Elephas maximus indicus: one gene and its partners. The protein of the gene in region 1 purifies or fractionates together with the protein of each later gene. This does not show direct contact. Links are inferred from orthologs where the notes say so. Each region holds a gene or a part of one and is shown on either strand. Other genes may lie near its edges.

Region 1 (7,631 bases):
ATACACACATTTTTGGGGGGACATAATTCAATCCATGACAGTATGTTTGAAACCATTGTTGCAGCCACTCTTGTCAGTCCATCTCCTTGAGGATCTCCCTCCTTTTCGCTGGTCCTGTGCTAAGCATGATGTCTTTTTCCAGCATTTGGTCCCTCCTGATGACATGCCTTTTACATAGAGCGCTGTCTTTTTTAGAAGAGCTGATTTCTTTGTCACTCTAGATTCTTAAAGTGTTCATAGATTTCAATCCATTAATAAATTCCACGCGTGAATTTATCCTATATAAATATTTACAAAGAAGGAAGAGCCTCCTATCACTCTGCTGCCAGTGATTTCCTGCTGTTCTGGAATCTCTCCCCTTCCCAGTGTTGCTCCTACATGGCTACACTGCTTCCACTTTTACCATTCCAGCCCGAAGTATATGCACTACCCCACAGTGCGATGAGACCAGGCTACAAAGGACCAGAATATAATTGTAATAGCAAAATCAAAAATTGGCTCATCATTTTGGCTGCTCTTAAAGCCAAGGCCTAACCCTCTTCCTGAACTTCCTAATAAGATGACACATGATACCATGGACTGCCAGAAGAGCAACAAATCTGTCTTGGAAGAGGCACAGACAGAATGTTCCTTAGAAGCGAGGATGGCAAGACTTCATCTAACGTGCTTTGGACACGTTATCAGGAGGGACCAATCCCTGGAGAAGGACATCATGCTTGGTAAAGTAGAAGGCCAACAAAACAGGCAGACCCTCGAAAAGATGGATTGACAGAGTGGCTGCAACAATGGGCCCACACAGTAAAAATTGTGAGGGTGATGCACGATCAGGCAGTGTTTCATTCTGTTGTACACAGAGTCACTGTGAGTAGCAACCAACTCGATGGGCACCTAACCATAACAGCTACAGAGTTATTTCACCCTAGGTTCAGCCTTATTGCTACCACCCAGAATGCAGTAGAGCAAGTTTCCAAATCCCAGAGTCAAGGTTGGGAGCAGAGTCTCCTCCCTTTCCCTCCCTCTCTCCCCCAGGCAATTCCTCTAGGCTAACATGCCCAATCCTCTTCCTTGTTTAAAAAAAAAAACAGTTGCCCTTGAGTCGATTCTGACGCACAGCAAACCTATAGGACAGATAAAACTGCCCTGTAGGGTTTCTAAGGGGCATCTGGTGGATTGGAACTGTTGACCTTTTGTTAGCAGCTGAACTCTTAACTACAGCCCTACCAGGGTTCCTTTGCTGGTTTAGTCTTTCCAAATTCTTTCCATGTGATGGACAATGGCAAGGTCCATTCTTAGGTTGACCAATTATCCCAGTTTTCCCAGAACTGTCACAGTTGCTCTGAGTCAGAATTAACTCCACGGTAGTGTTTTTTGTTTGTTTTTTGGGGGGCAGTGGGGAGGCAGAGGAGGGTGTCACAGTTTTAGCATTGAAAGACCCATGTCCTGGGAAACACTTCAGTCTTGGGCAAACAGGACATTTGGTTACCCTACTTCAGAGAATGCACTATGCTACCTTTAAAGTTATGACTCCACCTGGAGAATGCTATACAATGAACAATCAATACAATAATGACTTATTGAGTATTAACACCAATATTTAGGGCATCAGTGGTACAACCCAGGATGATCTTTACCTCTACCCACTTGGTTTCTTTTTTAAAGTTCTTCCTCCAGTGTGAGGAGTATCCTGTAGGTTTGGGGGTTTCAACTCCTTTTCTCTTATGGACAATATTTCCATCCACACAGACATCTCCATAAGAACAAAACAGTCGGTTGTTGTCACATGGAAGCTTAAATCCACACTTCAAAAGAAACAGTTCTCTAAAGAAAATGTATCTCTAGGAATGCGATTCTGCCTGCAGAATAAGCCGTATTTTCCATGATCTCACAGAACAGTATAGCTCCATAGCTGTCTCAGTTTCTCAAATATCTCCATTTTCCGATGGTCATTTTAGATTTATATTTGCATAACTTTCAGGTGATTTTCCCAAAATAAAAGTCTCTGGCTTTTAAAAAGCAAAAACTTATCATAAACTTGAAATTACAGTTTCTTAGCTTTTATTACTGCAATAAAAGTTCCAAAATAATGTAGTAATTTAGGTCAAATTTGAATCAGGGGTGTAGCTCTAGACATTATGCCCCACAAACCTTTCTAAAAAAGGAAGCTTATCTATAGCATGTATTCTAGGAATTCTGGGAAGACTGCAAAGAAAGGTCTCTTTGCCAGCTCCTCATTTGGCTCCAGAAATGTGGCAGAGACTGCTTGTTTAGCTGTCACTTAGTATCCATGTGCCTTCCACCTTCAGTGGGTAAATGGCTGCCTGGGATAAAGACTACTTCCCAGCTTGCCTTTCATCTAGGTATGGCTATGTAACTAAATCCTGGTGAGTAGATATAAGTGGAAGTGCCTGTGTTACTTTCAAGATGTGTGGTTATGGCTAGGAGACGTGCTTTTCCTTCTGAGCTTCCTGCTTTTTGGAATGTGGTCATGATGGCTGGAGCTTGAGTAGACATCTGGGATCTGAGGTGAAAGCCACTTTTAGCCACTAATAGCAAAGCAATAAGATAAGAAGGAGCCTCGTATCTGACACTGAGACACCATACTTACCCTGGGGTGTGCATCTCTGAATTTCTTTTATACGACAAAGAAATAAACCTCTACCTCCCTTGTTGTTAATTGCTGTCAAATGGATTCCAGCTCAGGGCACCCATGTGTGCAGTGCAGAACTGCTCCACAGGGTTTTCAAGGCTCTGTCCTGTAGAAAGTAGATTTCTAGGCCAATTTTCCAAGGCCCCTCTAAATAGGTTTGAATTGCCAATTTTTTGGCTAGTAATCAAGTGCTTAACTCTTTGTGACACCCAGGAATTCCCTGCCTTCCTTGATTACTCTTATTATTTGTTTATGTGCAAAAAAGACTAATAATAAATAATAGGGTTATAGCTGCCTCTTTCTAAGTGCAGCAATACCTATTACACAGAAAAAGGAAATAACACAAATGTTCAGCAATGGGGAGCATGATCAGTGTATCCCCTCAGTGGACTATTGTGCAACAGTTAAAGAAAAAACTAATAAGTTTTAATAGGGGAGATGATATAATGAAAAATTATAACGTAATTGTATCTCTCCTTGAATTAAACTTCTAAAAATTATATATGGATATTTCCAAGCACTTCATGGGAACATGAACAAATTAAAATTATACATTTTGGAGGCAGACTTTTAAGTTGTTGTTTTTTAAGACTTTCATTAATGCTACTATACTGTTTACTCATTTTAAAAGTCCTCTAAAACAGTGGTAGACAACCAAAGCCCAGTGTCTTGTCCTTATGTATGGCATGTTATGGTTGCTGGTCTCATGTCTATGTGTTATTTTTATGGGTTGTCCCTAAGTATTTTCACAGACTAAAAGAAGAAAGTACAGAAAGTAACAATAAATTGTAAATAAAATTAATGCTGTAAGGATGTGTTCTTTCACTTTAATTAAATTATAAATTATTCAAGGACTGGGACTATCTTATTTTCTTTTTATGCCCTTCCAAGTCTCCTCACTCCTTAGGAGGAGGTAGGGTACTCTGTATTACTGTTCACACTTGGTAATCCATATTTGTAGTGATCCATGTGTTTTACTGAGTTGTACTCAGGATGCACATATAAATCCCTACTTGTGCTGAGCATATTTGGGTACTAAGAGACTTCAGAAACAGGCCATTGTTGTGCATGAAAATGTCAACATACTTTATCATCTGATCCCAGAGACTTTTGATCATTATGTAAGAACCACACCTGTGGTTTTATGGTCCCTGTGCTAAAAAAAACCCCAACCTATGGATTCCAACCCTTTGCCCTCGAGCGGATTCCAACTCATAGGGACCCTATAGGACGGAGTAGAACTGCCCCATAGAGTTTCCCAGGAGCGGCTGGTGGATTCGAACTCCTTAGCAGTCGAGCTCTTAACTACTACGCCACCAGGTGCCAGGTAAATCAGTATCTAGACATGTCGAAGAAAATAAAATGCGGTCCATGGATTGGCTTTCCCCTGATTTAAGGTCAGATGACACACCCGTGGGTTTTCTCAGCTTCTTGCTACGTTTGTGGGACTTTAAGGGCTTTTGTATTTACTTTGTTTCTATCTGGATTCGCATTCTCTTCCTCTCGCCATAAATACATACATATTTTTGGTGAATGTATTACTGGAAAGCCATGTAATCACATAATGTTAGAGCTGGAGAAGATTTCAGGGATCATTCATCTCACTGTTTTGTGAGAAAACTAACGATCAAAAGAGGTGATTTGCTCAATTGGGATAAATATTTTTCTAAGTTCATAAGGTAGTCGAACTGTATAGCTAAACTACAATTAGACTACAAGTGTTACTGCACCATGATTTGATTTTCAACACTCTCAAGAAAAACTCCAGGTGTCTACACAACTTAAACAGCCGGCAACCGACACAGAAAATGGCAGAAGCACAGGTTTAGAATCTGGACTTGTTTATTTATGCCTTGGACGGGAGCCGGACCTTGAAGCCACGGAGCTGTTTTCCGGCGCTCGGCTCTGGTGCCTTGAACGATAGCTCAGGCGCTCCTCCATTAATGTCTGGGCGTTCGTGTGTTCGGTGATCTTTTGCGCCGTCTTCTTGCTTGATGTCTCCTGAGCGGTGGCGGCGCCCGGTCGAGGGCTGAGTTACCCGCGAGGCTCCACACTCGGGCCGCTTTCTTCCGCCGGTCGGTAGAGCGGACCTCTTGCGTCCTTCCTGCCTATTCCTTCCTCCTCTTTGTGGCTCAGCCTGCTCGCCGGGCTGCAAACCGAGCCCCCACTCGCCTTGCAGGTAGGCCCGGGAGGAGCCTGGGAGGCCCGGCCCGGCATCCTTCAGCCACGGGGTTGAGAAGACCTTGGCGCCGGCGGGTGGGCGGGCGGACCCGCGGCCGAGACTCCGCCAGAGGAGGGGCTGTCGGGCTGCGTTCGGGGGCGCGGCCGGAGGGGCGGCAGGGAACTGAAGGAGAAGCCGGAAGGAGGGAGAGATGCTGGGGCAGCCCAGTGTGGTTCGGTAGGGAGGGGATGTTGGGTCTAGGGTGGGTGTCGGCGCCCCCTGTGTCGGGGGAAAATCGCCTTCCAGAATGGTTAAAGATTTGCGCACTTTGACCCTCCTCCCTTTTTCCTTTCCCGCTTCCTAAGGCTCCGGGTGTCATGACTCAATTGCACTGGGGACCCCCTCTGAGTCCGGCCTTTGGAGGGACCCTTGAGTAGGTGGAGGCGTGTGGAACAAGGCCCTCTGGCTCCTCTGAGCGAAGTGTCATTTTCTCGCCTCTTTTTTGGGTAGGGAAACTGAGGCTGAGGTCTGGGACGTGAGTTTTCCCCATATCCCCTGCAGATGTTGAAGGCACTGTAAGTCACTTTTTTGTCATTTACCAGCTCACCTTTTTTCGTTTTACCAGGTACTCCTTTATGCACATAGTGATTTGTCATTTGATTGTCTGTGGTTCCTTCTTCTTAGGAATATAAATTCTGTTACCGGTGACTTCAGAAGTAAAGAGACCATGTGATCTTTTGGCTGGTTTTGCTTTTCAAAGTCTGTGTTATTTTAGCGAGAATAGCAATGACAGTTTCTTTTTGTTTCTTGGTTGATAATTTTGTTTGCTGTCCAGTTTGCTTTCTAGTTGATGCTTTTTTTCTCCTCCTTCCCCTCAGCCGGTTTTTAGTGGAAATCTTTCAACTATGGTGTCCTGACAGGATGGTCAAGATTTTGAAATCAGATGGTTGGCCTTGTGAGGGTTTGCCTTCCGGGAAGTATCCAAAGGAAACCTAAGGAGTCCCTTTTGGAATACTTTTTCGTGTTTTTGATTAGTGGTCAGTGCATATACTAGAGGTAAAAGGCTGTGTGCAGGAATCATGCAAATATTGAGGTATTTAAATTGAAGGTTAACATTCTGGGAACTCTGTTATGTTTCTCTCCAAACTTGGGAAATTTGGGGAGTTACTTATTCTTACTCGTTTTATTTTCATTGAATTTGGTGTTATGATCCTAATTTGTGTAACTTTTTGTTGAAAAAAATAATCAGCGTAGAGGTCAAGCTAGGTCGGATAAGTTCTCATAGTATGTAGAATCATTGGGAGAAGCCTTTTAAGGGAGAACTGATTAAATCCCTGGTGCTTGGATGGAAAATATACAAGTCTCTGACCCAGCACAATTTTAGCATTCTCGTGTGAGCGTTGGAAAGATTTTTTTTTTCCCCTCTAATTTTTTTGTGGGGTCAGCAAGATTTAAATGAAAGGCCTTTGATCGCGAGTGCTTTTCTAGTCACCAGGATCTCAGTGCTTACTGAAAAGGATTAATGAAGAGCCACCAGACTATACGGAGAATCTAGATTGGGAAGTTAGGTTAAGAATGTGTATTCGTTGAAGAAGAAGGCTTTATGGTAGAAGAGAAATTATATCAGAGGAGAGAACTTAGAGAAGGAAGCGATATTGTCCATTAATCTTTGGTAGGTTCTGGACAGAATTTAGAGTTACGTGTAGTATCTTAGTGGTATCTTATAAGTGCTAAATAATAATAATAAAAAACAAACAACCAAACCCAGTGCCGTCGAGTCGATTCTGACTCATAGCGACTCTATAGAAAGAGTAGAACTGCCCCATAGAGTTTCCAAGGAGCACCTGGCGGATTCAAACTGCCAACCCTTTGGTTAGCAGCTGTAGCACTTAACGACTACGCCACCAGGGCTTCTAAGTGCTAAATAAAGTAAGTGGAAATTGCTGTGAGTGTCGGGAAGAAATATTAGCAACGTTTTATGTTTCTGTAAAAAGTACTTGAAGATGAATTGAGGAAGATAAGAAATTTGGTGGTAGGGCTTATGGGGTAGAGTTTATCAGCGTCTTGCCCCCTTCTCTGCTTTAGGATAGAAATTCACTCCACTTTTAACTTACTTGATCAAATCTTGTTTTGTTCTGTCAGTGTCAGAGTGGGCTGTCTTGTGGGATTTCCTTTCCGAAATGTACAGGTTCAGAATGTGATTGAATTATTCTTTTAGCAAGACAGTTCTTGGGGATTCTTAAAGGTGCTGGTTTCTTTGAATATCCTGTAGAATTTGGCCTGGAATGGAATTATGTATATCACTTGAAAAAGATAAGTTATGTGTATTACTTGAAAATTATTATTTTTATTAACAGAATAACAACTTACACTTTTATACTGTATGATTTTCAAAATATTTTCAATATGTGTTAGGAAACTTAAGAAACTTATTTTTTTGACCATATTCCTTTATGCTGCTTATTAATTATGCTGCTTATTAATGTTGAACCAAAACATTTATGGTGTTTGAGGATCCTCGTGAATGTTGACAGATTATGTTGACTATTTGTCTCACTCCTCCCATAATATGATAAAGTCTTTGCTTCTCTTAAAGGAATTGGAGAAAAAGTTTTGTCGTCGGCACACCAAGGTCTCTTTTTCCAAGATGTGCCTCAGCCTCAATAGAGTTATTTTGGAATGGGATGCAGATTTTTTTTTTTTTTTGCTCAGTGGTTTGGTTTATAAAAACAAAAAATCTGAAGTTCCTTTAATCATAGTCATTCTTGTTTCTTTCTCCAGTTGTTCCTTATAAACCCAAAGAGAACTTTCTGTTTCTTGTCA
Region 2 (6,950 bases), on another chromosome or scaffold:
GCAAAATGAAAAATTCAGACTCTGTTCAGAACTGGTTATGAAAACGTGGAGAGACATGAATTACCTCTTTAAGAGGAAGGAACAAAGGAGATGGAGTCAAAGAAGAAAGGCTAGTGTCATGATAAAGTATTAGAAACAAATGGAATTCTTTAATGATTTGTAGAATGCTGCCAAATATTTTAAAGCATTTTAAACATACACACCAGCTCGTAATTCAAATCATACAGCATTTGGCATAATCTTGCTTTCAGTTTCATATGGAAGAAATTTCTTTCTCAATCTACAGAACCAGTGTGATTGGAGAATAGTAAATGCGTGCTTCTAAGTACAAAATGGTAACATTTTCCTCTACCTAATATACCCCGCGTGGTTTCAGAACAACTTTCATAGGAATGGCAGCATTTTTTTCTATCTTTTCTTACCTGGTGAAATACTTCCTAAGTTTTCAGTTTCGTTTCTTTTTTTAAAGGAAGAAATAGAGCTTTTAAAAGTCTAGAATTATTAGAAAAGTCCTTGAAATGAACAATTAAGACACATATTAATCAGTAGTCCTTCCTCCTCAGCTCACTGGTTAATTAAGCAAGTTGTAATTTAATCACTTACATGCAGTAATTATTTTACATTAATCAAACATCTGACTATAATAATACTCAAAAAACTAGATGCTTTCTTTTAAAGAGGCACACTTGACTACTTTTGTACCCACCACGTGTGAGGTATTAGTTCTGGTTTCAGGACAATGACTCAGCTTGAAGGAGGGGCCACGCCCTCCTCATTCTTTTAAGGAAAAAACCGTTTCTTTCTGAATTGAGGAGACTCCTGAAAAGTCAGAAGACATGTTCTCAAAGTTCTAAAGACCAGGAGAGAGGTGTGAGTTACTTTTTACACTGCTGCATGGAGAGAAATATTACTCTTAGAGACAGAAAGTCGTTGAGGCCTTTGATCTCTAGTTTTGCTCCACTTTCTCTGGGTTGAATGGGTCAGGTTTACTATTTTTGTGGAAATTCACATAGAAGCATTGTTTCTGTCTTGTTCCATTTGTCTCATTCTGAGCAGAACCTCAGAACCTGGCTTAGGGCTCAGATTTCTCTGTTGCCATTCATGAAATCGTCGTACGTGGAGAATTTCTCATTCTCTGACTCTTGGGAAAGTTGGAAGTGCCTCAGTGCTTAGAGAATACTGTGGCTATTACTTTTCTTGGAAAACATACATCTCTTTTTGATTTGGTATATTAATCAGGAGAGATAAACACATACATGCAGCCCTTCTTACACTTTTTGGCTCACATACACCTTTTTGAACCTGGTGAAAACTGTGAAACAAAACTCTGTCCAATTTCGGGGGGTTCCTGTATGCCTTAGTAAGATCTTCGTTTAAGTACATAAAGCTGTACACAGATCAAAACGTTCATAGGAAACAAAAGTTTTCATATACTGTTAAAGGAATAAAAAGTATTGCCAAAATTTATTATAAATTCAGAAATTCTATACAAGCCTACCACTGCATTAATTACTTAAAAAAAAAAAAAAAACCGTCGCCGGGGAGTCGATTCCGACTTGGAGCGGTTAATCACTTAATGAAATCTTAATCAGGTAAAAGGGGAAACTATGTTTTCAAGCTTTCAGGCCACGGTGACTAGCACCTTCAAGAAGGTGTCATGTCAGCACAGTGACTTCCATATAAGAAGGTACACAATGAATATTTAGAGACTAAGGGAATGGCTGAATACAGTATGCGGGGTTACCAGAGGAAGGGAAGCTGCGGTGTCTTTATTCCATAAAATACCCAGCTACCGTTCACCCCACAGCCCAGCATCTGTCCCACTCCTCTCTAAACCTTGCTTTTGGGTGGATTCCTTTTTTTTTTTTTTTGCTCTAAAGCGTTCTGGAGCAACAAAACTGATCATTTCATATCGGGGGCCACACTAAACTGTTGCCTCCCTTAAAAACGCATAACAGAAAAAGTGTTAAGTTAGAAACATTTGGAAGGACCATGTAGAGGCACAAAGAAGGTTCTAGAAGTTCTGCTCACCAGGAGTGCCACAGTCCCTAATCTCAAACAATGTCATCGTAACTTTTATCTTTTCTGATTTGTATTTTCTCCGCTGCCAAACGCCCAGACACGTGAATCAGAATGTGACCACCAATAACACGCTCACAGGTTTAGCTTAAATAGAATCTGTCCTCTCTCGGACAAGGAGAAAAAACACCAAGAAACAAAACCGCGCCATCTCCACCAAAAACAAATCTCAAGCAAGCACGGCTCTTGCTGCACAGGCAGCCCCGGGAAGGCGGGACGGCGCCCGGCCGGCCAGGCCCCGCCCGGCCCCGGCCGCCTCCGCATGGGAACCCCGCCGCCGCCGGCCGCGCTCACCTGAGCTCCAGCTGGTCCAGGCTCTCGAGCAGGCGGCTGGAGCGGTCCGCCATGGAGGAGGAGCGGCAGAAGCGTCCTTCGTTGGCTTTCGCGTTGATCTTCGCCTGAGCCATCTGAGCCTCCGAGGCGGGGGGGCCAAGAGGTCACCGGCCTCTCTGGCGACAGCGGCGAGTGGAGCGCTCCCGGGGCCGCAGGCGTCGCTGTCACCGCGCGGGGCGACCGCCTCCTTCTGACGCCCGCGGGGGACGGCCCGGGAGACGCGCCGGCACTGCTGCTGCCGCTTGGCCAAAGAAGGACAGACGCGGCGCCCGCGGGGCTCGGGGGCTGCTGCGGCGGTGGGGCGGGGGGAGCGAAGTGGTTAGGGACTCGCGGGTCACCGGGTCTCCAGGATAGGCAGGCAGAGCAAGGGGACCTGAGGAGCAATGCCAGGCAGCCTTCAAGGAACCCAGAAGGGCGGACACAGGCAGCGGGTTGGGCACAACGCGAGCGGCTGGTACTTTTGCTCGCCGAAGTCTGGAACAACCGACGCCCACGCGGAGAACGCCCCGCCTCCTTCCCCGGAATGGACCCCCCTGCTCGGTGCAGCCTGAAAGTAACCAACGCCCACAGGTGGGTGTAGTGCTCAGTGATGGCTTCTTTCAGTTTCTCCCAGCACCCATAATTCACAGCAAGGAAAAAAAAAGTTAAAAGTCCTTTGATGTGGGCAGAAATGGTCCCTTTGGGGAGCTGAAAGCATTTATGTACAACCCCTAGGCAGTCCAGACCTGTCCTGTTACCCGTCCCTTTCCTGAGATGAAAATCACAGCCTAGACAACATTAAGCCTATAAAAAAAAAAAAAAAAAGCTACCACACCTGTCTGTCTAGCTGGATATGGGAAGCAAGATGAATTTGCTTCGTTTCCACCCATTCTAATGAAGCAATTTTTATTGATTTGTTTTTACTGTTTATTCAAAAAAATTATTCCTGTAGGAAGTGAGTGAAATAGTTGGTATTAACAATGAAGGCCATTTTATGTTTAACTTATTTAAATCTCCTAGTAACAATGGCAAGATGCAGTAGTCCACTAGGTGAGATACCATAAAGGTCGGTAAAAGATTGGAGTAGGTCTGGGAGTATAACGATTTCTGTTTAAAGGAAAAATTTGTTTTGTTCCCATCTTATTATAGCTGTGTGTCATACAGTAAAGGCGAAAATGTGCAGAGCACAGAAAATGACAAAACCGTTTAAAGCTGAATCACAACCTTTAATCAGACATCAAAGCCATTTAATACTTGAACATAAGGCCCTTAAACCCAGATTGAAATTCCCTCTGAACTCATTCTAAATACTAATGAACTATTGGTGTAGGAGATTATTTGACCTCATTAAACATATTTTGTCATATTGTGACACAAGCTCGGAATCTGAAGACATTTTGTTAATGGTGTGAAAGTCTATGAAGTAAATTTAGAACCATGCTGAACTCTTTCTCTGATATCCTAGATCCAATCCATGAGTAAAATCCGTTAGCTCTACCTTTAGAATATATCCAGATTTTTCTCCCCAATTCCACGGCTACCATCAACTCTCACCTGGATTGCTCCAGTACCCTCCTGTCTGGTCTCTCTGCTTCTACTCTTGCATCTCATGTCTTCTTGATAAAGCAACTATAGTTAATTCTTTTAAATAAGGCAGATCATACCACTCATTCTCAGCAACCTAGAATGGTTCCTCATGCGAGAGAAAAAGCAAGTCCTTAAAAAGGCCTAAGGCCTTCCATGCACAGTTCCCCACCTCAATTCTCCAATCTTATCTGCTGCCCTCCTAGCTCATCCCGCTTCGGCCACACTAGCCTTCTTGCTTTTCCTTGAATATGCTGAACTCACTTCTAGACCTTTTCACTGCACCTGGAACACTTTTCCCCATATATAGTTGCATGGCTCACTCCCTCACCTTCTTTTGCTCAACTTTACCCATCAGAGAGATATTTCCTGACCACCCTATTAAAAATAGTAAGCCCCTCCTTCATCACCCTTATCATCATCAGATATACTGTTTTGTTTACTTGCTTATTATCTAAAACTCCATCCAACCCCCTCTCCCCAAATGTGTGCTCCACAGAGGGGTGGAGGCTTTATTTTGCTAACTGGTACATCCCGAGTACTTTGAACAGTTGCTGGTACATGGTAGGTATTCAATAGTTCTTTGAATGAATGAATAATGTAATGAAAAGCATCTTTATGTTAGAAACATTTACTTTTGATAAATAAGCCATATGACTTTCTCTAATGTCATCCACTTGATTATATCTTCTCCTTGTGTCTAAATTAAATTAAACTATGACGTACTTTTAAATGACTTTTAATTGCTTTACAGGTAGAAATACAATTGGTGACAATTATTAATTAAAACATTAAACTACCTCTTCTTAAAGGTCATGATGAAATATTCCTTTCCTGTCATTTCAAAAGTTTTGGTTACTCTCTACCATACAAACCACAAAAGCTTATTAATGGAATATCAGTGTACATCACACCCATGTATGGAACTCTGGCAAAGAGCTACTGTCTCCACTTGCCCCACATCTGCTAAACCACTCTTCTTCCTGGACCATTTTTTCTGCTCCTATTTAGAAAGCTCTTGCAAGTATCTTTAAAGTCCGGCTTAATGAGTACCTCCTAGAGCCCTGCTTGACCACTTCAACCTACAAATTGAAAGCATAATGTGGTCATTTTAGAATGATGACAGGTAAATTCTCAAGCTATGGTGTTTTAAAAAAATGTAAGCAGGGAGGAACAGAACTGACATCTTAAGAAATACACAATTTGGTTTTCAATGTGGGTTGAAAAGGCTGTTAATAATAAAAAAAAAAAAAAACAGTAATTCCACTTTACAATAAAATATCCAGTGTTACAGAGAAAGAACAAAATTCTGGCCATGGTATTTTTTGTCTTAAAGAAAGCTTTATGTTTAAAGAAATGTTTTCAAGTTTGGTAAGTAATTACTACTCAGTTTTTTAATGCTAAAGGATTTCTGGTCAAAAAACATGAAACACACACAGGTAGTATCATGAGCTCTTCTTACTTTGCTATTTATGTAATATTTTTACTATTCACAATGGGGCCTCAACATCTAAAAATTAAATATGTAATCCAAATGCAGGAAATTGACAATTCAATGAATAACTACAATGAAGCTACTTTCATAAGAAATAATTTTTTTAAAACAGTTAAGGAAGAATATTCCTGAGTAGGCCTTACATTATTTTTTGAGGAATATTATGTTTACATAAATATATTTAAAAAAGGACTAAGATTATTAAAAATAAGTGTAATTCTACACAAATATTTTAGCATCATTCCCCTTCAACAGTAGCTCATACAAGTCATAGAAAAGTCTAAGCAGGTAAAAGGAATAGAAAATGTTTCCTTTTAATTATTTCAAAAAAATTGATTTTTTTTTTTTTCTAGCAATGTACTCCTCTAATTAAAGCAGGGATATACATTTGAGCAAAACCCAAAAGGGACATTGTTGGTAAAAATTTTAATCTATTTACATGATCAATTTCCACTACTCTGGTCTAATAATTATAAATAAAGATCTCAAAATGTATTTTATATCAATGCCACGTGAGAAGATTTACAGAAAAATTGAGCAGCTTTATTTCTATTCATTTTCACTCCTAAAAAAATAAACCAGAATCATCTGTACAGTACAAATAAAATTAAAGAACACATATTTGAGAAATATATAAACAATAGCCAAGATTTTTTCTATTTTTTAAAAATCATTTTAATCTAAGTATATGCATTCGAAGTTAGCTGAGAAACGAATACCTACATTAGAATACATGATTTATATTTGTATTAATATATATTCCATTCCTTCTGAACATTTTTGCCAAATAGCACAAAAACACAAAGCAAATATCAGACTCTGAATACATGAATGCAAAAGCATATTCTCAAATACATTTATGCTAGTAGATTTCGGTGTCCTTTAGAAAACAAACTCTAGAACTCATCCTGAGAATCTCTTCAAGGCCACTTGATGTTGTGTGGTAATATCTTTAATTACATATCCTCAAGACTTCTTCTAATAGCTTCTTCTAATTCCACATCTGCATTAAAAAACATAAATTTTAATACTTAGGGCAGAAAGCTAATAAACATGTGCTTTATATAAATCTCATCAAGCACATTCACCTTTTCAAAAAGAAAAGGAAAAGTAAACTGGAAAAACTTAGGATAACTTGGAAGTTTTTCTTCCATAAAATTTGAGTATTATGAAACATGAGAATCTGGATATTACCTCAAAATGAAATTCAAAATACATGAATATAATGTGCTAAGGACCTTGCAAGTTATTTTCATTTAGGGATGGCAGTCAACTGGCAAGTAATCACTTATTTCAACATTAAAAAGAAAAATCTACGTCACTTATTTCCAAAAAGACTTGAAGTGATGCATATGAATCTTAAAACAAATAGAAAAGCAAAACCACAAAACAGCAAAATCTCACAGGCTATCAAAAATTTAACTTTAACATTAGCAAGTGGCCATCTAAGACGCATCAATTGGTCTCGACCCACCTGGAG
Region 3 (7,190 bases), on another chromosome or scaffold:
CTTGCTGTCTACCATGTTACAGCTCCTGTCTCCCTCTCTCTGTGTCTCCCTTTAAGCCTAGCAGCACGGCAAAACTGACCAATCCACTCATTATGGTTTCATATACCTTATCTGCATGGTCCTACAGGGAAACCCTGGTGGCATAGCGGTTAAGCACTATGGCTGCTAACGTAAAGGCTTCAGCAGTTTGAATCCACTAGGCACTCCTTGGAAACCCTACAGGGCAGTTCTACTTTGTCCTATACGGTCAGTATGAGTCGGAATCAACACGATGACAATGGGTTTGGTTTTTTTGGTTACTCCCTCAAGGGTCCCACACACCTTATTAACATTATTAACAAGCTATCCAATCCCCTTGGTGAGCCACAAGTACCTCATTTCCATAGTCGCACCCAGTCATATGGTGAGAGTTACAAAGACTATGGCTAACTAATTCCCTACACCACACTGGTGAAAGCATTCCAACCTTTGGCAATTACAAATAAAGCCACGATAAACAATTGTGCACAGTTTTTTATGTTAACGAAGGTTTTTATTTCACTAGGAGTAGGGTTGGAAACCCTAGTGGTGCAGTGGTTAAGAGCTAAGGCTGCTAACCAAAAGGTCGGCAGTTCGAATCCACCAGGCGCTCCTTGGAACCATATGGGGCAGTTCTACTCTGTCCTATAGGGTCGCTATGAGTTGGAATCAACTCGATGGCAACGGATTTGGTTTTTTTCATTCAGGAGTAGGATTAAGGAGCCCTGTGACCCAGTGGTTAAGCACTTAGCTGCTAACCAACAGGTCAGGGGTTTGAACCCACCAGTGGCTCTGCAGGAGAAATATGTGGCAGTTGGCTTCTGTAGAGATTACAGCCTTGGAAAATCTATGGGGCAGTTCTACTCTGTCCTAGAGGGTTGCTATGAGTTGGAATCAACTCAATGGCAACGGATTTGGTTTTTTTCGTTCAGGAGTAGGATTAAGGAGCCCTGTGACCCAGTGGTTAAGCACTTAGCTGCTAACCAAAAGGTCAGGGGTTTGAACCCACCAGTGGCTCTGCAGGAGAAATATGTGGCAGTTGGCTTCTGTAGAGATTACAGCCTTGAAAAATCTATGGGGCAGTTCTACTCTGTCCTAGAGGGTTGCTATGAGTGGGAATCAACTCAGCAGCAACAGGTTTGGTTTTGCAGGAGTGGGATCGCTGGTTTGTGTGGCCATCTTGCTTTTAAAGGTCTTTTTTTAAATAAATAATATTTTATTGTGTTTTTTTGTAAAAGTTTACACAGCAGTTTAGGTTCCCATTCAACAATTTCTACACAAGTTGTTCAGTGACATTGGTTATATTAATGCATGAAAATTCTCACAATTTCCTTCCTGGTTGTTTCATTTCCATTAATCTAATTTCCCTGCCCCCTTACATTCTCATCTTTCTCTTAAAGTAATTGTTGACTATTTGATCTCGTATCGGTGATTTTTTAAAGGAACACAGTACTTACGGGTGATATTAATTTTTTTTTTAAAGTCTTTTTGATGAACAGCTGAACAATTGATGAGTGGTAACACAATTTTTTTTAACTAAAGCTTTCTCATCATCTGACTCACATGTCACACAAGCAAAGCGCTTGCCGTAAGTACTCGGTGTGCTAAGCACTGTACACCGCAGCATTTTGGTGACCTTGGGCAAGTCATGCAACCTTTTGGAGCCTTAGTTTCCCCACCTGTAAAATGGAGGTAACAATGTAAGGATTAAATAATACACATTTGAGTGCTTGGAACAGGCCTGGCACACAGCAAGGCCATGTCAACACTCGCTGTTAAAATGTTCACTACCTGGCCCTTCTCAAGCTGTCTGCATAGCAACCCTAGCAGGAAAAATCTACTCTTCATTTTATGGAGGAGGGCCCTAAAGCGGGGAGAGAGGTCAAGCAACTTGTGCAAGATTGCAAAGGCTGTAAGTAAGTAAATAATGGGTCCAGGATTTGAACTGAAGTGAACTGACTCAAAACCCGCCCTCTTACTTAAGGTGTCCATTGGGGCCACTTTTCCAGTAATATTCTGAAATGCCCAGTCAAAAACCCACAGCCCTAAGGAGAGTTTTGTGTTTTTTCTAAGTTAAAACTTCCTGATCATGTCCCAGGCTTACTAAGGTTACCACCAAAACACAAGGATACCCCTTGCCTGATGTTTTTGGCAAAGGGTTGTCCACCAGAGTGGAAAGAAACATCAGTAAAACTAGAAAGGCCTACCCAGAATCATGTTATACCTTTGGAGGCCTAACAAAGGATGGTGCCACCATGTTTGTAATTCTACATTAAATTAATATTATAAAATACTAGAGTGTAAGTGTAAAGAAGTCCAGGCAGCTCTGGTTTGTTCCCCGTGATGACAACTCTCCTGCTATTTATTTACCTAACTTTTTGAATTTTGAATTCTCTTCCCCGCATTGGCTCTGGACCCCTGCTGTGGTATATGTCTCAGTCCAGAGTCCTTGCTGGCACGGTTATCTTGGAGTCAGTGAGTGGGCAGGGAGATACGGAATCTACTTGCTGGGCAGCAGGACAAGGCCAATGGTCTTCTTTCTCAGCGGTCCCAGCCTGCACAAGCTAGGCAGTCACCAGAAGCTTTTGCTGAAGTCCTGACTGAGAAGGGGGGCACGCTCAGCAGCCTACCACTAACCAAAGCAGGTAGTACTTCCCTTTATGCCAGAGCTGTCAACTCTTGTAAACTTCAAGACCCAATGAGGTGGATACAACTGCCATCCTCATTGTACACATAGGGAGGCCAAGGCCTAGAACGGTTAAGTAACCAGCCCTAGGTCGGGCAGACAGGAAGTTGTGCAACCGGGAATCAAACCCTGTCATCTGGCTCCAGAGCTAGTACTGTGATGCCCTGACCTTCCAAGCAGTTATTCCAGGACCCCCCACCCCTCCGAGTGACTACCTGTCCCTTCCTCCCTATGCCCCTCTCAGGTGGTACCCTTTTCTGTACCTGCTTTCCCCATCAGATGTGTCCTTAATCACAGGCACCACAAATTCTCAGGACCAAATAGGATGTGGTCACCTAAGGATGAGGAAACAGGTGTATGACAGGCCCATAACCCCCAAATCATAAAGGTAGTGGGGAGAGGAAAAGAAGCAGGTGCAAAAAAAAAAAAAAAAACCCAGAAATATTCATGAAACGTCCGCAGCATGCCAACACTGTTTCCAAGTATGGGAGACGCAGCGGGGACAGGACTCAATCCCTGCCCTGGTGGAGATCACACAGGTCACAGACTCAGGAGGTGGGGGGGAGGGGCGCAGTAATCATGAAAACCAAGGAACAAGACAATTTCGGATTTCACAGCTCTTGAGAAAATTGGGTTGAGTGCAAGGCATGAGGGGCGGTCGGGACGCTTAGGCAGGAAAAGATGCCATCCTTACCTCAGTTTACAGGGACCTGCATAGTAAGGACAGGGACAGTCTTGGGGCACCCCGTTGCATTCTCCCACAGCCGAGAGAAAAGGGCCGGTTAACGGGATGTCATCCAGTCAACTCTGACTCATAGCGACCCTGTAGGATAGCGTAGAACTGCTCCATAAAGTTTCCACGAAGCGGCTGGTGGAGTCAAACTGCCGGCCTCTGGTTAGCAGCCCAACGCTTACCACTGCGCCACCAGGCAGGTGGGTATTTTTATTCCCACCTTACAGAAAGAAGTACCTGGGCAGGAATCCAACCTGCCCAGAATCACCCCACCCAACCAGGCCCAAACCGTGTGAGATCTCCCACAGGCAGAGTGAAAGCTGCCAGAAAGGGGCGGGGCCTCAAGGGAGCGTGACCTGCCCGGCCCTGCCGCTTCCCGGAGCGGCGCGTACCGCCCTGGGGCAGAAGGTATCAGTAACCTATTGACCCAGGCATGAAGAGGGGCTCCAGGAAAGCTAGGTCACCGGGCGCAAGGTACAGGCGGCCGCGATTGGATCTCCCAAAGGATGGGCGGGGCCTCCGGCGTCGGGGGCGTGCGCCACGGTAGGCGTTGCCGAGGGGGTGGGGAGAGCGGGAAGGGGCGTGGCCGCGCGGGGCGACCGTTGGCAGCGAGGCCCCGCCCCGGATTTCGCGCGTCGCGGGTTGGGCGACGGCGATTGGCCGGTGCGGCGCGGGGGGCGTGGCGGAAGGTTCTGGAGGGGCCTGGCGGGCTCTGGAAGCTTCCGCCGGACGGGTATATAGAGTCCGGGACCGGGCGGTGGCGGAGCCGGGGGACGGCGAGAGCGGGGCGGTAGGCCGTAGGTGGGGGCCATGGGCAAGGATTACTACCAGATACTGGGCTTGGCCCGCGGCGCCTCGGACGAGGAGATCAAGCGGGCCTACCGCCGCCAGGCGCTGCGCTACCACCCAGACAAGAACAAGGAGCCCGGCGCCGAGGAGAAGTTCAAGGAGATCGCCGAGGCCTACGACGTGCTCAGCGACCCGCGCAAGCGCGAGATCTTCGACCGCTACGGGGAGGAAGGTGAGTACGTGCGTGCGCTCGCGGCAGGGGCGCGCCCCCGCCGTTTGGCAAGCTGGGAAACCGAGGCACGGCGGTCCTACGCGACGGACCCCCTGCAGCATCCTCCGGGGTCGCCCCGGCACGGAGGACGAGCAGCCCCCTCTGTCTGTCCCCGCGGGCTTCCGCCCTCGGATTGGCGACCGCCTGATGGGAGGAGGAGCCCTGGCCAAACCTCTCACCCAGAAGGTTCTAGCATGTCTGGGGCTGCCACTCCCTGGGAGCCGCCACCCACGTCCCCTGGCGGCCCGGGGTGACGGGGGTGCCGGTGTGGACGGAGACCGAGCTCGTTCATCGCGCCGCTGCCCGCAGGTTCACCTGAGCCCACCTGGGCTCGGCCGGGCAGTGGATTGAGGGGCGGCGCCTCAGAGCGCTCCGGGCACAACCTGCCGGTGGTGGGACCGGAGATGAGGGCGCCGGTTGGCACCGACCCCACTCCCGGGCCGTGAGGGTGGAGTGAGGTAATCCCTGTAAAGTGCTTACCTAGCCGTGCCAGGCACGTAGGAAGCAGCCATCACCGACTGCGGCCGTGCAAGAGCAGCGAGTCCCCTAGGCCTGGCCTCCCTGCATAGTCTTCTCGGCAAGAAAGGGTTTCTTGTTGTCAGTTTGCCCGTTGATGACTCAGCCTGGCTTCTGGACTCTAGTCTCAAGAAATCAATCGACTTTATATAAGATGGTGTTAACTAATGCCAGGGTGTGGTGGTGAGCATTTGAAAAATCTGTGTACTTTTTATCTCCACTTCTACTCTCCACATTGTCATTAGCATCCAATACCACTTGCCATGGATTTGGGCTCATAGCACTCTGTAGGACAGAGTAGAGCTGCCCCATAGGGTTTCCAAGGCTATAATCTTTGGTGATGCAGTGGTTAAGAGCTCAGCTGGTAACCGGAAGGTCAAAAGTTTGAATCCACCAGCCACACCTTGGAAACTATGGGGCAGTTTTACTCTGTCCTGTAGGGCTGCTATGAGTCCAAATTCACTCTACAGCATCGGGTTTTTACGGGTTAATGTTTGCAAAGCAGATTGTTGATAGGCTTGAACCTCTGATATTGGTGTCAACAGCTGGAGTGTGCTTAACCACTGTGCAATCAGGGTTCTTCGTTGGCATCGCTATCTCTAAAGTATTAAGAGTAAATACTTATTGAAGGCTTACCTTAAATCATGCTTTTTTCACCTCATCTCTTGGTGAATCCTTGTAATGTTTTGGGGAGGATGGGTTAGCCAAGAAGTGGCAGGTACCTAGAGATGCCCGATGAGCTCATCCTTCTGTTGTGCCATGGAGGGTCTGTCTGTGCTGCTGCATCAGGAGGCAAAAGTTTGGGGCTCTTCCTTGCTCTTTCCTGACAAGTTAAAAAAAAAAAAAAAAAACAACTCCTACTCAATGGTTCCCAGGGTTTTTCCCCTTAAGGAAAACTCTTAGAAAAAGAACGTCCTGGTCAGCTATCTAACAACTTCTGATTTTGCTTTTCAGGCCTAAAGGGTGGCGGTCCCAGTGGCGGGAGCAGCGGTGGTGCTAACGGTACCTCTTTCAGCTACACGTTCCATGGAGATCCTCACGCTATGTTTGCTGAGCTCTTCGGTGGCCGAAACCCCTTTGATAACTTTTTTGGGCAGCGGAACGGGGAAGAAGGCATGGACATCGATGACCCGTTCTCTGGCTTCCCCATGGGCATGGGTGGCTTCACCAACATGAACTTTGGCCGTTCCCGCCCCACCCAGGAGCCCACCAGAAAGAAGCAAGATCCTCCCGTCACCCACGACCTTCGGGTCTCGCTTGAAGAGATCTACAGCGGCTGTACCAAGAAAATGAAAATCTCCCACAAGCGACTGAACCCCGATGGAAAGAGCATTCGCAATGAAGACAAAATCTTGACCATTGAAGTGAAGAGGGGGTGGAAAGAAGGAACCAAAATCACCTTCCCCAAGGAAGGAGACCAGACTTCCAACAACATTCCAGCTGACATCGTCTTTGTTTTAAAGGACAAGCCGCACAATATCTTTAAGAGAGATGGCTCTGACGTCATTTACCCAGCCAGGATCAGCCTTCGGGAGGTAAGGCACTAGGCAGGATGGGAGTGGGCTGCTTTTTAGGCAGTGTTTGCTGCACAGTTACTTGTGGGCCAGGCTCAGGGTGCCGCATGAAAAAGACTGACCAGGGCCCTATTCTTCCATGACTTCCATGCTGCTAACCCAGTAGATTTAAGGGCAGGCTCTTAGTTGCAGAGGCCTAATGAGTCTTCCTTACAGCAAACAGTCCCTGGGTAGGAATTAAGCTTCTTAAGCTATTCTCTATCTAATACCGTCCCTTTGTTTTCTAAGGCTCTTTGTGGCTGCACGGTGAACGTCCCCACTCTGGACGGCAGGACCATACCCGTCGTGTTCAAAGACGTCATCAGGCCTGGCATGCGGCGAAAAGTTCCCGGAGAAGGCCTCCCCCTTCCTAAAACACCGGAGAAACGCGGGGATCTTATTATTGAGTTTGAAGTGATCTTCCCTGAAAGGATTCCCCAGACATCAAGAACCGTACTTGAGCAGGTTCTTCCAATATAGCCACGTGCACTCCCCAAGGACTGATTAGGGACCTTTCAGAGCTCAAGGATTTCCAGATTGTTCCACCAGTTGTGGTTCCGCAAGAGGGCGGGGAAGGCCTAGGGAGGGCTTTCGTACTGCTGAATGTTTCCCAGAGAATATATT
Region 4 (7,715 bases), on another chromosome or scaffold:
GTTTCAGAAGACCTCTGATGCCACTAGCTTACACCCAGGAATCAGAAAGACAGGTGAGTCCTGCGGTTGTTGTTGCCACTCCGTCAATTTCGACCCACAGTGAGCGACAGAGCAGAGCTGCCCAGAGGGTCTCCTAAGCTGTGGTCTTTAGGAAAGCTGGTCACTACCAGGTCTTTCTCCCACGGAGCACCTGGGTGAGTTCGAACCTCCAACCTTTCTGTTAGCAGTTGAGCGCTTGGCTATTGCACCACCAGGGCTCCCTGAAGTCTTACTAAATAGATATTATTTAAAGTTCATAGTACCATCTAAGACACATCTACTGGTCCCACTCCATCTGGAACAAAGAAGAATGAAGAAAACCAAAGACGCAAGGGAAAAATGAGTCCAAAGGACTAATGGACCACAACTACCATAGCCTCCACCAGCCTGGGCCCAGAACAACTAGATGGTGCCCGGCTGCCACCACCGACTGCTCTGACAGGGATCACAACAGAGGGTCCCGGGCAGATTGTGAAAAATGTAGAACAAAATTATAACTCACAAAAAACATCAGGTTTACTGGTCTGAGAGAGACTGGAGAAACCCCTAGAGTATAGCCCCCAGACACCTTTTTAACTCAGTACTGAAATCACTCCCAAGGTTCCCCCTTCAGCCAAAGATTAGACATGTCTACAGGGTCACTATGAGTTGAAACCAACTCACTGGCAACAGGTTCTTGGTTTGGTATAGGGCAATCGATCACACACGTGAGGAGTGTGCTTCATGGTTCAATCATGTATACAACACTAAATGGACACACCAGCTCAAAAGCAAAGACGAGAAGGCACGAAGGGACTGGAACACTGGATAAATGTAAACAGGGAACCCAGGGTGGAGGAGAAGGGGCGAGTGCTGACATATTGCAGAGTTGGCAACCGATGTCACAAAACAATTTGTGTATTAATTGCTTAATGAAAAACTAATTTGCTCTGTAAAATTTCACCTAAAACACAATTAAAGAAAAAAATTGATAAAATACATGGCAAAAAAAAAAAACTAGATAAAAAGGCAGACTGGGAAATGTATTTGCAACAGATAGAACAGACAAAAATATTGGTATCTGTAATAAAAAGTTTCTCTGAATTAATAACAAATAGAAAAAGGGCAAGGGCGAGTCATTGAAGATAAATTTTAAAGGGTCAACAAACATACGAAAAGACATTCAAACCTGCTAGAAGTCAAGCAAGTGAAAATTACACAAGGAAACTGCAGTTTTAAGGCACCCAATTGGAAAAGCCGAAAAGGGGAGGAATCACATCCGGTGCTGTCAGGGAGACAGGCCTTCCCTCGTTTCTGCAGAAGTGACCCGCAGCACCTTTTCTGAATGTGAAGGAGCCCTGGTGGCGCAGTGGTTAAGCATTCGGCTGCTCACGGGGTTAGCGCTTCAAATCCACTAGCCGCTCCACAGACGAAAGCTGAGACAGTCTGCTTCGTAAAGATCACAGCCTTGTAAGTCCTGTGGGGCAGTTCTACTCTGTCCTACAGGGCCACTATGAGTCGGAGTTGAACCCATGACAACGGATTTTTTGAATGTGATCTGACCATATCTAAAATGTTAAAAATCCATTCTTTTTGGCACAAGAATTCCAGTTTGGAAATCTATCTTACGGGAAAGTAAACGCAACAGTATGTAAAACCATCAAAAAAAAAAAAAAAAATGACCTCTCGATGCCAAGGGCTTGTATTTTTGTTCTTTGTGATCCAAAAATTGCTAGAAAATGATTTTTAATTCCTTAACTTCTGTGTACAGGACTATAACACATACATTCGTTGTGTCCATGCCTTACAGACTGTACAGCTTTGAGGAAGTGACTTTACTGTGCCTAAATTTACTCATCTGTCAAGTGACGATGCTAAAAGTAACTACTTCATAGAATTGCGAAGGTTAAATGCATTAAAATGTATAAAGTTCTCAGAACAGTGCATGCAACCGTTCAGTCAACGTCAACTATTACTATGAATGTGACTAAAACTCAGGACTGAAAATAAACATTACTTCATGAAACGTAACCAGTGGTTCTCAAAATTGGAGGGTTATTTGACTCACCCTCAAAAATCCTGATGTCCAGGCCACACCCCAGACCCACTCACAGGAGAGCCGCAGGGGGTGGGCCCCAGTTCTGTGTAAGGTCTAACCAATGGTTCCAAAGCACAGACAAGTTCAAGAACCAAGGATGCAAACTACACAGACAAGGAACAAGCTGCAAACACTTACGAGCTGAGTTTAAGTTGGGTTTGGAAGGGAGAATGGTGCCTAACTATCATATTTCTGTTAAAACTCGTATCCAGAGATGAGAAGTGGGAACAAAGCGTGCAGGTACTGAAAGCCAATCTCTTTAACTCAAGCAGAGGGCAGAGCCAAGAATTAATGAAAAACAGACGCAGTGTTAAAATGTGTATCTACTTAGATAACGAAAACAGTATAACGACCTGTCACTTTTGGGAAGACCTGACATTTACACTCAGCTCCTGAAAAACAGCAATCTCTCCCTGCTGCAGAAACTTAACTACCTAGAGAAACTGCTGTGCACTCAGGAAGCACACAAAGGTGGTGACGAAGGAAATACAAACTGCCCTACAGCAGAAACTGTTTACAGTCCATCCAGGATCCAGAATAATGCAGCACTCAGATCCTACATAAAAAACAACACGAGTCATCGCTACAGTTGGGCAGGTTCTGACTCACAGGCCAGCCTCCGTTTTTTACTGGGTCATCAGCATCACAACAGGTGTGAGCGGTCTAGCAAGTGCCCAGCACTGGGTTTGCCTGTAAGTCTCATCGTGAGGATCCAACCCAAGGTAAGACCGATTTTACCTTAACAAAAAGCCTGCATGACAACAAGGAAGCCTTGTCTGGGTGAAGTCCTTTTTTTTGCCCACTAGCTCACAATATTGGAGCCCTGGTGGCACAGTGCTTAAGCGCTATAGTGATCTATGGCTGCTAACCAAGAGGTTGGCAGTTTGAAACCACTCCTTGGAAACCCTATGCGGCAGCTCTACTCTGTCCTACAGGGTCACTACGAGTCTGAATCAACTCAACGGCAATGGGTTCAGTTTTTTTGGTTTGCTATGCAGGAGACCTGGGTTCAATTCCCGGGCAATGCACTTCATGTGCAGCCACCACCCATCTGTCGGTGGGGGCTAGCATGCTGCTAGGACGCTGAACAGGTTTCAGCAGAGGAAGACAGACTAGGAAGAAAGGCCTGGCAATCTACTTCTGAAAATCAGCCAACTAATCATGGGGATGGCACAATTCCATCGTGTATGGGGTCACCATGAGTTGGGGGCGACTGGACAGCAGCCAAGAACAACAGCAACAGTTCACAAAATAGGGAAGTGTGCCATAAGTGGCTAAGGCACTCTGCTGCTAACCAAAAGGTTGGTGGTTCAAACCCGCCCCGTGGCTCCACAGGAGAAAGATCTAGAGATCCACTCCGAAAAGATGGTTGTTGTTGCCGTTTGGTGACATTGAGTCGGTTCCAACTCATACCAACCCTATGTACAACAGCATGAAACAGTGCCTCGTCCTGCGCCATCCTCACAATCGTTGCTATGTCTGAGCCCACTGTTGCAGCCACTGTGTCAGTCCATCTCATTGACAGTCTTCATCTTTTTCGCCGACCCTCGACTTTACCAAGTGGGAGATTACAGAAAAGATTTTTACCTGATAAGATGACAGCCTAGGAAACCCTAAGGAGCAGTTTTACTCTGTCACATGGGGTCGCTATGAGCCGAAATCCACTTGACAGCACCTGACGACAACAAGCCCTCATTCTGGGGAAAGCTCTTGGTTGGTCTGTAGTTTGCTTTCCCAGAGCACACTCTGTTGTGAGCACACTCCTGCCCAAAGACTGAGTGAGACGCTGCTAGGCTCCTGCGTCCTAGGAACACAGAGAGGGCTGTGGCCACTCTGACAGGGAACTGAGCGGGGGGGGGGGGGGGCTGGGATCTGGCTAAACAACTGCCCTGGTGGCTCCTCGACTAAACTATAAACTAGACAGAACTTCAGGGCCAACGTTTATGAAAGTGTGTTAAGAGCCTGAGACCAACAGAAACGAACATCTCCAGGCAGGCTCACTTTGGAATTCTTAATTGGTTTTTTTTTTATCCTTCTTTAATTACTGTTTTAAACAAGCTGTCCAGCCTCCCTCATTAGCACCTTGGCAAATGAAGCGCCTATATATTTCCTTTACGTATTTTATCTGCAGCCTATTCCCCACCGCAGTCAATGTTTCCATTTAACAGCTGGAATCAAGCCCCTCCCCCACCCCGCAAAAAAAAAAAAAAAAAACAAGCCCACTGCTGGGGAGTGGATGCGGACTCACGGTGACTTATAATAGGATTTCCAAGGCAGTAATCTTTCGGAAAGCACACTGCCACATCTTTCTCTTGTGGAGCAGGTGGGTTTGAACCCATGTTTCAGTTAGCGGCCGAACTCTTAACCACTGCACCACCAGGGCCCCACTCAAAGCCTAGGCCTCCCTTGAACAAAATATCTTTCATAACAGAGCAATTTATAATTATAAAAACTGTCTGCCATTCTTTCTTGTACAGACTTTAATCTTTGTGGATTTTTGGCCAGCATACACGCACCTCATTTCCAAACCAGAAAAACTCTTCACCGTGAAGTCCTAGAGAAAAACAAAGGTCGCCATCGCGTGAGGAAAGGTACTAACAATCTTAACGACGCCAAGTCACCAACGAACAGGCAAAGATACACGAGCTTTAAACACGGAGAGCAGCTGTCCTCGAGAATAAAAAGGTAGGCACAGACTTGCTGGCCGACTCGGACTCGGCACACGTGATGACAGTCCTACTGGTCCACATGCACCCTGGTCCCCGCACCCAGACCACGGGGTTGACACGGGAACTGCGGGCCACGGGCTCACTGCGGGCCACCAGGTCACCTGCTGCTCTGAACCCTGCCTGGAGCTCAACTCACGCCACAGTGGGGGAGACGTGAGGTGCAGGGCCAGGCCGCCTGGAGGGGTGCAGGGTGGGGGTCGGTCCCGAAGTGTGCAGGGTGGGGGTCGGTCCCGAGGGGTGCAGGGTGGGGGTCGGTCCCGAGGGGTGGGGGGCTGGGGGGTCGGTCCCGAGGTGTGCAGGGTGGGGGTCGGTTCCGAAGGGTGCGGGGCTGGGGGTCGGTCCCGAGGGGTGCAGGGTGGGGGTCGGTCCCGAGGAGTGCAGGGTGGGGGTCGGTCCCGAGGGGTGCAGGGTGGGGGTCGGTCCCGAGGAGTGGGGGCCTGGGGGTCGGTCCCGAGATGTGCAAGGTGGGGGTCGGTCCCGAGGAGTGGGGGGTGGGGGTCGGTCCCGAGGGGTGCAGGGCTGGGGGTCGGTCCCGAGGGGTGCAGGGTGGGGGTCGGTCCCGAGGGGTGCAGGGTGGGGGTCGGTCCCGAGGGGTGGGGGGCTGGGGGTCGGTCCCGAGGAGTGGGGGGTGGGGGTCGGTCCCGAGGGGTGCGGGGCTGGGGGTCGGTCCCGAGGGGTGCAGGGTGGGGGTCGGTCCCGAGGGGTGCAGGATGGGGGTCGGTTCCGAAAAGTGCAGGGTGGGGGTTGGTCCCGAGGGGTGCGGGGCTGGGGGTCGGTCCCGAGGTGTGCAGGGTGGGGGTCGGTCCCGAGGTGTGCAGGGTGGGGGTCGGTCCCGAAGGGTGCGGGGCTGGGGGTCGGTCCCGAGGAGTGCAGGGTGGGGGTCGGTCCCGAGGGGTGCAGGGTGGGGGTCGGTCCCGAGGGGTGGGGGGCTGGGGGTCGGTCCCGAGATGTGCAAGGTGGGGGTCGGTCCCGAGATGTGCAAGGTGGGGGTCGGTCCCGAGGAGTGGGGGGTGGGGGTCGGTCCCGAGGGGTGCGGGGCTGGGGGTCGGTCCCGACGGGTGCAGGGTGGGGGTCGGTCCCGACGGGTGCAGGGTGGGGGTCGGTTCCGAAAAGTGCAGGGTGGGGGTCGGTCCCGAGGGGTGCGGGGCTGCGGGTCGGTCCCGAGGTGTGCAGGGTGGGGGTCGGTCCCGAGGTGTGCACGGTGGGGGTCGGTCCCGAGGGGTGGGGGGTGGGGGTCGGTCCCGAGAGCTGCGGCTCGGACGCCTCGTCCCTGACGACCACTCCTTCCGGTCCAAGCTCTCGTGCGCCCCGCTTACCCGGCTGGGCGCCGCATCCCTGCGCTCTGGGGCGAGCTGGCGGCGGTGGCCAGCGAAAGCGCGGCAGAGCTGGGGGAAGAGGGCCTTACTCCTGGGCCCCAAGGCCGCCATCATTGGCGTCCGCCCGGCTCCCGCGGCGCACGACAGAGGCGCGACGGCGTCAGAGACCGCCTTACGGCAGTGTCGCAAAGACTAAGGCGAGGGGGAGCGCGGCCGACCGTGCGCTTTCCCGGCGGTTCGGGGAGGCGGCTGCGGGCACCGCGGGGCTGTGGGCGAAGGGGTGACGGGCGCTCCTCGGCCGCGGCCTCCTCACGCTGTCGTGCACGCGGCTGGCGGCGGGCCGTGGGGGGGCGCCGCGACTGAGGGACGGCTCCCCGGGGCTGGGGGCGTTCGGCCCGGGGCGGGGCTGCGGCGGCCGGGCGGAGGCGGGAGCCGCAGAGGCTGCTGAGGCGGCGGCCGGAGCGCGATGGAGCGGGCGGAGCAGGTGAGCGAGCGGGCGGGCTCCCTCCCCGCCGGCCGGGCTCCCTCCCCGCCGGCCGGGCTCCCTCCCCGCCGGCCGGGCTCCCTCCCCGCCCCGGGCCGTGCCGAGCGCGCCGCCCCCTCTGCCGCGGCCCATTGTGAGGTCAGGGCCGGCGGGCGCGTCGCGGGACCCGGGCCGAGGCCCCCGGAGCGGCCGCTGCGGCCAGTAGCTGCCGCCGCCCCGCCGGCCCCTGCACCGGCCGCCCCGTCCAGACCTAGCCGGGAGGGGCGAGAGGGATGCAGCTCGGGGCCCCGCTCCGGCGCCTCACCCCGTGAAGGGCCGCCCGGCCACCGGCCAGCTCCGCGCGGGAAACCCAGGCGCCGGCAGCCCCGACCGGCTCCGGGTAAAGGGCCCGAGGGCCGGGCGGGGACGGGGGCGGGGAGGGCGGGCCGAGCTCTTCGCGGGAAGACGGGCTGCGCTGCTCACCGCCGATGCCGCGTTCCGGGGGGTGTGCTGGCGGGGGAAGGGGCCCGAGCCCCCCGAAGCCGCAGGCGGCGCCTCTGCAGGGCGACTAAAGGGCGGGTCGGGACCGGGCTTGGAGAGGCCCGGAAAGGCAGGAAGACGGATGTAGAAATGGGGACTTCGGGGGGTGTAGGCCCCTCCGGGGCCTGCCTAGGGGCTCAGGTCCTTTTGCTCTGAGTTACTTTTTCTGGAAACCAGACATAGCTGTCTTGGAGGGATGGGGTGCTTGGGTGGTAGGGTTTATGCTGCGTGACTTTCCCTTCCGTGCATTCCGCAGGTGCCCTGCTCATTCTAGCGTTAACACCCCAAGTATTTGTGTTATGCCGAACTGCTTGCATCTTATAAAGGCAGACGTAGGCGCCTCTCTTTTTACGATGGCTGAAACGCGACATCCGCAGGCCCCGGGTTCCCCTGGACGCGGCAGTAACCACTGTTCCTAATAGCTGCCAGGCTGGGGGGAGGGAGTTGGTATGTCACTCTCCTTGCTGTACCTGAGCATAACTGTCTTCTGGGTTGCGGTAGGGACAAGCCCCTTCTTTAAGTATGTCTTTTAATTAATGTGTGATTGCCAT

The links.
Region 2: the proteins of AMBRA1 (region 1) and BAG2 purify together in Homo sapiens (affinity purification with mass spectrometry; 3 studies listed by BioGRID, with this or other methods). This does not show direct contact. The link is inferred for Elephas maximus indicus from reciprocal best matches to the Homo sapiens genes AMBRA1 and BAG2.
Region 3: the proteins of AMBRA1 (region 1) and DNAJB1 purify together in Homo sapiens (affinity purification with mass spectrometry, with the first as the bait; 3 studies listed by BioGRID). This does not show direct contact. The link is inferred for Elephas maximus indicus from reciprocal best matches to the Homo sapiens genes AMBRA1 and DNAJB1.
Region 4: the proteins of AMBRA1 (region 1) and BAG5 purify together in Homo sapiens (affinity purification with mass spectrometry, with the first as the bait; 3 studies listed by BioGRID). This does not show direct contact. The link is inferred for Elephas maximus indicus from reciprocal best matches to the Homo sapiens genes AMBRA1 and BAG5.

The regions. Positions count from the first base shown.
Region 1 is NC_064825.1:102,061,075-102,068,705, reverse strand, and holds the start of AMBRA1 (activating molecule in BECN1-regulated autophagy protein 1), read left to right. Parts: upstream 1-4,611; 5' UTR 4,612-4,826; intron 4,827-7,631. UniProt on the Homo sapiens protein: Substrate-recognition component of a DCX (DDB1-CUL4-X-box) E3 ubiquitin-protein ligase complex involved in cell cycle control and autophagy.
Region 2 is NC_064819.1:122,938,385-122,945,334, reverse strand, and holds the start of BAG2 (BAG family molecular chaperone regulator 2), read right to left. Parts: upstream 3,013-6,950; 5' UTR 2,487-3,012; coding exon 2,374-2,486; intron 1-2,373. UniProt on the Homo sapiens protein: Co-chaperone for HSP70 and HSC70 chaperone proteins. Acts as a nucleotide-exchange factor (NEF) promoting the release of ADP from the HSP70 and HSC70 proteins thereby triggering client/substrate protein release.
Region 3 is NC_064821.1:33,094,997-33,102,186, reverse strand, and holds the start of DNAJB1 (dnaJ homolog subfamily B member 1), read left to right. Parts: upstream 1-4,179; 5' UTR 4,180-4,247; coding exon 4,248-4,458; intron 4,459-5,967; coding exon 5,968-6,548; intron 6,549-6,815; coding exon 6,816-7,046; 3' UTR 7,047-7,190. UniProt on the Homo sapiens protein: Interacts with HSP70 and can stimulate its ATPase activity. Stimulates the association between HSC70 and HIP. Negatively regulates heat shock-induced HSF1 transcriptional activity during the attenuation and recovery phase period of the heat shock response.
Region 4 is NC_064828.1:117,819,918-117,827,632, reverse strand, and holds the start of BAG5 (BAG family molecular chaperone regulator 5), read left to right. Parts: upstream 1-4,708; 5' UTR 4,709-4,801; intron 4,802-6,161; coding exon of another isoform or gene 6,162-6,275; exon of another isoform or gene 6,276-6,309; intron 6,310-6,549; exon of another isoform or gene 6,550-6,645; intron 6,646-6,720; exon of another isoform or gene 6,721-7,024; intron 7,025-7,715. Other genes in the region: cytochrome c oxidase assembly factor 8, read right to left, coding at 6,162-6,275. UniProt on the Homo sapiens protein: Co-chaperone for HSP/HSP70 proteins. It functions as a nucleotide-exchange factor promoting the release of ADP from HSP70, thereby activating HSP70-mediated protein refolding.